Linked DNA regions of Solanum lycopersicum. The protein of the gene in region 1 binds, or shares a complex with, the protein of each later gene. Links are inferred from orthologs where the notes say so. Each region holds a gene or a part of one and is shown in the gene's direction. Other genes may lie near its edges. The genes, in order: eukaryotic translation initiation factor 3 subunit E and eukaryotic translation initiation factor 3 subunit K.

The links.
Region 2: eukaryotic translation initiation factor 3 subunit E (region 1) and eukaryotic translation initiation factor 3 subunit K share a complex: the UniProt entries of both Arabidopsis thaliana proteins name them as parts of the eukaryotic translation initiation factor 3 (eIF-3) complex. The link is inferred for Solanum lycopersicum from reciprocal best matches to the Arabidopsis thaliana genes EIF3E and EIF3K.

What each region holds. Positions count from the first base shown.
Region 1 is NC_090809.1:60,505,703-60,509,952, reverse strand, and holds the start of eukaryotic translation initiation factor 3 subunit E, read left to right. Parts: upstream 1-1,329; 5' UTR 1,330-1,479; coding exon 1,480-1,690; intron 1,691-2,742; coding exon 2,743-2,897; intron 2,898-3,068; coding exon 3,069-3,296; intron 3,297-3,427; coding exon 3,428-3,549; intron 3,550-4,007; coding exon 4,008-4,227; intron 4,228-4,250. UniProt on the Arabidopsis thaliana protein: Component of the eukaryotic translation initiation factor 3 (eIF-3) complex, which is involved in protein synthesis of a specialized repertoire of mRNAs and, together with other initiation factors, stimulates binding of mRNA and methionyl-tRNAi to the 40S ribosome.
Region 2 is NC_090806.1:58,133,266-58,137,544, forward strand, and holds the start of eukaryotic translation initiation factor 3 subunit K, read left to right. Parts: upstream 1-1,293; 5' UTR 1,294-1,594; coding exon 1,595-1,723; intron 1,724-1,855; coding exon 1,856-1,912; intron 1,913-1,998; coding exon 1,999-2,049; intron 2,050-2,138; coding exon 2,139-2,201; intron 2,202-3,411; coding exon 3,412-3,462; intron 3,463-3,538; coding exon 3,539-3,605; intron 3,606-4,279. UniProt on the Arabidopsis thaliana protein: Component of the eukaryotic translation initiation factor 3 (eIF-3) complex, which is involved in protein synthesis of a specialized repertoire of mRNAs and, together with other initiation factors, stimulates binding of mRNA and methionyl-tRNAi to the 40S ribosome.

The sequences.
Region 1 (4,250 bases):
GGCATATGAATTTCACAATTACGGGTGGTCTTACTATGATTTACCAGCTTCGTTTTCGTTTGTTTTCAGTAGAGAGATGTTTGCTTCTGTTAGTTTTTGTAAACAGTTTCCAGGGTGAAGTTGAATTACTTGCTTGTAGAAGTCTAGTGTGTTGTAGAGCAGTTAATGGGCTATCAAAACTAAATCCTTTGTGTTTCTTTTGATGTGTTTACTATTCGATCATGACTACTTTAAAGAGTATTTGGTTCGGCTTATTTTAGAAAATAAAATATAAACAAATCTATTTCAAGGAGCCCAAAAGTCTACTTTTATCTTTATTTTAAGGTTAATAAAGGGTTGTGCTTTATTCATATGGAGTTTATTTGGTATTGAATTACAAGACTTTTCAGAATAATGTAGCCCTATGAATTAAAAACAAGAACGACAAGAATGATAATACTATTAGACCTCTTATCAAATTTATGCATAGTGATCTTTAATGAAAATAATTTTTAGCGGGATAAAATATTGACATTAATAAAGAGTGTTAAAGTCACATGGGCATTAGATAAGTGTCATTAAAATTAATATCGTTAAAGACTTTAGGAACATATAACGATCATTAGTTGGAATATGCTCTGGTGTTTTTTTTAGCCATATTTTGCCACTTTGGTAATAAAATGCATTCAGTTGCCCAAAAAAATAATTTAAGATAAGTTGTTTATTCTTTTTACTATAGCATGTGAATATATGGAACTCATCTTTATTTTAAAACTACTCCTAGGAGTAGTATATAGAGTTCAAAAAATGATAATCGAATATTATAAAATTAACATATTCGAGTGAAATTGTTTTGATGAAGCACGTTCACAGGGTCAAACAAAGATGGTGATAGTTAGTAATGATAATCGTGAAGTGATGACTATAAGTGATTGATTATAATTGTTAAAAATGAAGGTAATAATTGACGATATTAGTAAAAAAATGACGTATATTGTTATTGAAGATGGTTAGTGACATAGTATAATAAATAATGGTTGAAGGAGGTTGCAATTAGAGATACTAAGATTATTCGATAGTAGAAATAATTTGATGGTCATCGTTCGATAGTGGATCGATTATAAAAATTAATAATTATTGATAATAGTTAGCGTAATATTTAACAATATTATTATGATAATACTTTTACCTTATTGTTTTTAGAAATCAACACTTTTGGATTTTTTTAAAAATTCAATCAAACAAATTATTTTCTATCGTAAAAATCAAAACCAAAACAAAAAAAAAAGAAAAAGAAAAAGTAGTTGTATTGAAGATGGGGTTAAAGGTAACAATATTTAAAACCCAAGGGGGAGTTTCAACATTATTTATTCCTTACAGCAAAAAAGACGAAACCCTAGAAATCTTTCTTCTACCGATCCACTTCTCATCTTTTCAGTTTCTCTGGTTCTGCACGGCGGCGAGTTTTGTGGTTGCTATCTCTTACCGACAGTAGCAATCATGGCGTCGAAGTACGATTTGACGCCACGTGTAGCGCAGCAATTGGACATTCACTTGATTTTCCCGTTACTGGAGTTTTTGCAAGAGCAGGGATTATACCCAGATGAATATATACTCAAGGCGAAGATTGAGCTGCTTAATCACACTAACATGGTTGATTATGCTATGGATATTCATAAGTCTCTCTATCATACTGACGATGTGCCTCAAGGTATCATTTAATTTTTTCGCTTCGTGTTTCCAATTGATTTTTTTGTTTATTAATCTTAATACTTGTGCTTTTTTTTTTTAGCAAAAGGGGTTTTTTTTTGGGGGGGTGGGGTTGTGAATTTTATGGATATTGTTTATACAAGTTGTCTATGTGCTGTTCCTCAAGGTTATCTCTTTCCCCCCTTTGTAGTAGTGAATACGCATTGATTTGTGTGTTGTGTGGGGTGGGGTTGTACGTCAAGGTTTCTCTTTCTTTCCCTTTGGTATGAATGCCCGTTGATTTGTGCCCTTACTGATCGAAATACCTTGTGCCCTTTTCAGCATGAAGGTTTTCGTGTGTGGTGTGGGGTTGTTAGTTTTAATGGATATGGTCTCTATAGAAGTTGTAGAAGTTGTCCTTCAGGTGTCTCCTGTTTCCCTTCATATTGGTGTATGTTTACATATTGGTCCACGTATTGGTGAATGCTTATTTATTTGTTGCTTCACTTAATGCTTTTGCACTTTTAACAAAAGGTGTTCTTTTTTGGGGTGGTGATATGGTGGTAGTTGTAATTTTGATGGTTCTGGTCTGTAGAAGTTGTTTAAAATTTATTCGAAGGGGATAATCTGTATAGTTGATGTATAAGAGTAAAAAAATCTGGTGACTTAGCAGTGCCCTTTTTAGCATAGAAGTTGTTTTCTTGTGGGGGTATTGTAATTCTGTTGGGGCAGTCTCCGTAGGTTTTCTTTGGAGTTGTCCCTTGAGGAATCTGTATAGTTGTGATCAGATAGAGATTTGATATGGGAGGCAATTTTGACGTTGTTGTCTGGATTTTCTGTTTGAGCTTTACAGTAAATGCATGCAATGTATGTAGATTAAAACCTTCTTGGTGTACTTAGATAAGATAAACTGTTGGTACACATACGTGTCGGTACAGAGTCTAACCATTTGCGACTTGCCCTCAGGGATTCCTCTGTTATTAAAAAAGTTTAGTTTGAGCAGAAGTGATTTTGGGAGTTCCTTTACATGTTTAAATTCTGCACTGTCTTTATAATTGCCGTTTGATTGTTCAGAAATGATGGAGAGGAGAGCCGAGGTTGTGGCAAGGTTGAAAGCACTTGAGGAAGCTGCAGCCCCATTGATCACTTTTTTGCAGAATTCCAGTGCTGTGCAGGAGTTGAGAGCTGACAAACAGCACAATCTTCAGTTGCTCCAGGAGCGGTACCAGGTGCATAGATCTAGTTTGATTTACATGATATAGAGTTCCTTCTTCTTTAGTACTTAATGTTGTATAATTAATAATATACTTGTTAAAGGGATCACAAACAGAAGTTGGTCTCTAGCTAATTTTGTGAATATACATTTTTTATTTTAGTAATGCTCTTACAAACCTGTCCAGATTGGTCCGGACCAGATAGAGGCATTGTATCAATATGCCAAATTTCAGTTTGAATGTGGAAACTATTCTGGTGCTGCTGATTATCTTTACCAGTACCGAGCATTGTGCACAAACAGTGACAGGAGCGTCAGTGCATTGTGGGGAAAGCTTGCAGCGGAGATACTAATGCAGAATTGGGATATTGCACTCGAGGAACTCAACCGCTTGAAAGAAATTATCGACTCAAAGGTAATATTTTGCATATATTGAGTCAACAATCTGTCTGTTTGAGTTAGTCTTACCAAGTTGAGTATCCTGTAGGAAAAAACTGAATGATCCTCAGTTTACCAAGTGTACTAAAAGTGTCGCTTGTCTTGCAGAGTTTCTCTACTCCGTTGAATCAAGTTCAGAATAGAATATGGCTAATGCATTGGAGTCTATTCATCTTCTTCAACCATGACAATGGCAGGACACTGATCATTGACCTGTTTAACCAGGACAAGTATGCCAACTGTACTTTAGTTGCTATTGCTTATAGATGATTGTTTTCATTTGCTGCTTCATTTTAGATTTCCCCATCCTGTTTGAGCTAGGCATTTTTTCTGATACTATCACCTACCGAGTATGATGTAGAGAAATATTTTAGGAAGCTCCGATTACCTAGTTCTTTCCCTTAGTGGGAAAATGGAGAAAACTAGATGAATTAGAATGAAACATGATCTGGAGGGTCAGGAACACACTGTATTTCTTATTTGCATACAGCAGAATTATGTTTGAAATATAGTTTTCTTATTCCAAAATGTTTGAAATAAATATTGCTCTTCTTTTGTGGTAACATACATTAAGACAGTATTCTTCTTGATATGTCTCGATTAAAGTAGCTGTTATTTTTCCTTTTGTTGGTATTCTATGGATTTACATCTTCCCTTTGAGCTTTTCTAAATCATTGAAGTCTTGCAGATACTTGAATGCCATTCAAACAAGTGCTCCCCACTTGCTGCGGTACTTGGCTATTGCATTTATTGTCAACAAAAGAAGAAGACCTCAATTTAAGGACTTTATAAAGGTTATTCAGCAGGAGCAACACTCTTGTAAAGATCCCATCACAGAGTTTTTGGCATGTATTTACGTCGACTATGATTTTGATGGGGCACAGGAGAAGATGAAGGAGTGCGAAGAGGTAAGCTTTTGTGCGTAGCTTAT
Region 2 (4,279 bases), on another chromosome or scaffold:
GGGGATACAAAAGTAACGGAGATGGTACTCAATCTTTTAACTTTTTTGGATGCCTCAGGGATTTAGATTTTACGTTAAGTTGATATGGCACATTTAATTAGATATGTTGTGTTACACTTTGTCTAAGTAAATATTTATTATTAACATAACTTCACCATAAAACTATCGCCTTTGGCTGTAAATTTGTGAAATTAATGTAGTATATTATGTCTCAGTTGTTTGTTGTAGTATCTCTCTTACTTTCTTGCCAATATCTCTATCATTTATTTTTAGGTACTTTGACATCTTGCAATTTCATAAATGTTGTGACTGGATAAGCTTGCGTGGATTCCAATTGTACCATGTTGTTCTAGACTAAGATACCATCATCTTGTAACTAAAAACTCCTAACACTCTTTGACTTTTTGGGTTTTATTATCACTACTACTGCAACAACTTTTGAATCAGTGCATCTGCACGACATGTTTGTGTCTATTGTAAATATTGTGAACCTTATATATAGTAGTGTGACATCAAGCTTGTATTTAAGTAGTCTTGTGCTCAATAATTTGTTCAAGATTCTTGGTAAACTCCAATTTCAGTGGCTTTCGTCATTTCTTTCCTCTGGCCTTTTTCTAAAGGAATTAGATTATCAATTTCCTTAAGTTATATTGTTTGTCACCAAGCAATGTTAACGTGGTACAATACTAGATATTTATTATATTTATCTCTTATAGGCACCAATCATTTTTTTTTGTTCGTTTTTATCTTCTCTATTTTTCATATTTATTAATTTACTTTTACAAATAAAATCAATGCATAATTAATAATATATTACTTATTTATATTATTTATAACTCATATTTTTTCATCTTGCTTCTAATTTCCACTCTTCAATATTTTTCATAACTTCTTATGTTTTATTTCACAATATTTAATTAATGTTTTAAAAATTATTATAAATAATTTTAATAATAAAGATACAATGAAGAAATTCATTTATTTTTTTACGAAGTTAGAATTTGTATATAGAATCAGGTAATCTCGTCCCTACGAGGACATCCGATAAAAAAATCAAGTGATCCCATAAAAAATATAAATAATATTCAAATATAAAAAATATTTTGATGTAGCATAAAATATTATTATTTTAAGATATGACCTCTTATTCATTTGCTTTATCACAATAAACATTTTATCTTACTATATATGTATGAATATTTGTACTTAAAAAGATGAAAATAATAATATTCTTTTATATATATCCCGCACTAACATAAAAATATAAATATTTTTAATACTCAATTAAAACAAGATTGTTCATTAAATTATTATATGAACATATAATTATGCGAAGAGCGAACAATTTCACTTATGAAATATAATAATGTCAGAAAAAAATTTCAATTTAAATCAATCTAATTTCAAATCATATTCAAGGATTGAGAGAAATTTGAAGGGTATATCCGTCACAAACAAATAATCCCTCCCGTATCTCTTACTCTCGCCCTCTTAACCCTAAAACCTCCGTTCAGCTGTACTGCAAGTGCAACCCCTTTTGGCTCCTCTCTTCACCTTCCAATTTGTTCGAAAGCAGTCAGATACAGTTTACAAAATGGTTCAAGAGGCGACTAATGGTGGTTCCGAGAAGTCACAGTTGGCTATCACTGTAGAACAGCTCATTGCCGTTAACCCTTACAATCCAGATATCCTCCCTGATCTTGAAAACTATGTCAACGAACAGGTACACCAATTCACCATCGTTCATCACTCCAAAAATTAATCTTTTTGTAATGGGTTGCCAACCCCTTTTCAGATTTTTGTTTCTGCTGAATTTTCCGTTGTTATTGATTGAGTAATCCCAATGTTAATTTAGGTTTTGTCTCAAACATACAATCTGGATGCAAACCTTTGCCTGCTCCGTCTTTATCAGGTTTATATCGTTATTTTGAGAATTAATCATGGAGGTTTGTTTGTTGTTTGATTTTGTTTTTTTTTTATTTGTTTGGATGTGTGCAGTTTGAGCCGGACAGAATGAGTACACCAATTGTTGCTCGTATTTTGGTTAAGGTGCAATCAAGTTCTTGTTTTGCATACTGTGATATTACTTGTTGCCTCTGTTATTATCTAACTTATTATTTGCTTGGTTGTATTGATAGGCCTTAATGGCAATGCCAGCTCCAGATTACAGCCTGTGTCTCTTCCTAATCCCCGAACGAGTGGTATATATCTCTGAAGCTGCCTTGATTATGACTTTACCTTTGATGAATATGAATTGTAAATTTTGCTAGTCTTGTGTACTCTGCTGGAAAACATAAAAACTGTCACAGCCAAAGATGTAGGTAGATTTGTTACTACCCCTATTTGTGACCAGGAATATTAGCTATTCTCAGTCATGCCTAACACAGCTTGACAGTTGTTTCATGGCTTGTGTAAAATGAAAAAGGAAGGCAGTTGATCAGATGACATAATTCTACTATAAAAATACCCCAAAAGATCTTCCTATATTTCTAAATTTTTGAATACTCATTTGTCATCTCCTGCTGTGTATCCAACTAGATTGGAGGTACATCATTTTATTTTATAGCTGGCAGTTTGGGAAGGTTGCTTTGTTGGTTCAGAAATGTCCTCGTGCTAAGTTTTGAGGAAATTAGATAAACAGGAAAGTCTGAAACAAATAAATAGATACATAGTGATGTACGATATTTGGTGTTGCTCTATATATAAACCGATATCTGCAACATAAAGGTTGTAAAACTGAGCAACAACAACATACCCCAGTGTAGTTCCACAAGTGGGGTCTGGGGAGGGTAGGATGTACACAAACCCTTACCCCTACCTTTGTGGGGTAGAGAGGTTGTTTCCCAGAAGTTCTTCATTTCCTTATGTTGGTATTCTTTAATTTCTTAGCTAGTATAGTTTCATATTTGTTAATGAAATGCATCCTATGATGTACACAACCTTACCCCCCACTTTTGTGGGGTAGAGAGGTTGTTTCCCCGTAAGTTCTCCATTTTCTTGTATTGGTGTTCTTAAATTTCTTAGCTAGTATAGTTTCCTATTTGTTAATTAAATTCATCCAAAGGGATATTGAGGAGGGTGAGGATATACATAGCTGGCCCAAACAAGATTGGGATTGAGGAACAGTTAAGGTTGTTTCCTAGAAGTTCTTCATTTCCTTTTGAGGGGCACTTTCATGTACACTCTTTTTGCTGCAACCCCCATAGACATCTATTTATTGTTGCTCAACTTTGCAAACACTTTTCGCCTTAATTTTCTTTACTGTTTCACTGGGGTTGTGGTCATTGTGGTGATTTTTTTGGGAGCAAGGCAGAATGCATGCTTTGACATCTACATATGAATCTTCAACTGTGTTAGATGCATTGCCCTATCCTTTTTTCTTCATAATGATTTTCTCATTTCATTCCTCAGCAAATTGAAGAGCAATTCAAGACACTAAATGTTCTGTCACACTTCTTAGAGGTATGCCATGTTGTGTTTGCTGAAAGTTTCTTCCAACTCTGTAGTTAACCCAACAAGTACACACATCTTTTTGCAGACTGCAAGGTTCCGCCAATTTTGGGATGAAGCTGCAAAGAGCCGCCACATTGTGGAAGCTGTTTCTGGTATTACTGAATGCTTTAATCCACCCCTCATCCACAGTGTTCAATAGTAGCAATACGGATGCAATAAGAAACCTATTTGTTATACGTAATAAGTGTCAGATTTTGCGGCAACATGCTTAAAACTGTGGAGAGAGAGACATTTTATGAAGTGATTGAGTTTCAAATCATTTCCTTGACCCTATTTATTCCAACTATTAGTAGTAAAAATTTTGTTTCAGATATAACCCATCAATATTCTTGAGTTTTTGACTACCCAAAAAAAATTCCTAGAGTGTTTCTTGTTGACAATTACACTTGGCCCCACCTATTTACAACAAAATGAATGAAGCACAGAATATAACATTCTAAACCCCTCATATTAACCACATAATCTAGGTATTATCTCCATATACTTGATCCTCTCCTTGCCCAAAATGAATGAAGTACAGCGTATAATATTTATAACCCCTCATATTAACCACATGATCTGGATATTATCTCCATATAGTGTTAATCCTCCCCTTGCCCACAATGTGCAATAGCAGTTTTGATACAATGAGAGAACCTATTTCTTTTAAAAAGAATTACATTTTTCTGGACTTGCTTGGCTTTGTGCAACAAGAGGAGTTTCATGTAGGGATTTTAAGTTTCGAACCGAGTCCTTTATTTCGTTGACAGTTTTTATTCTACTACCA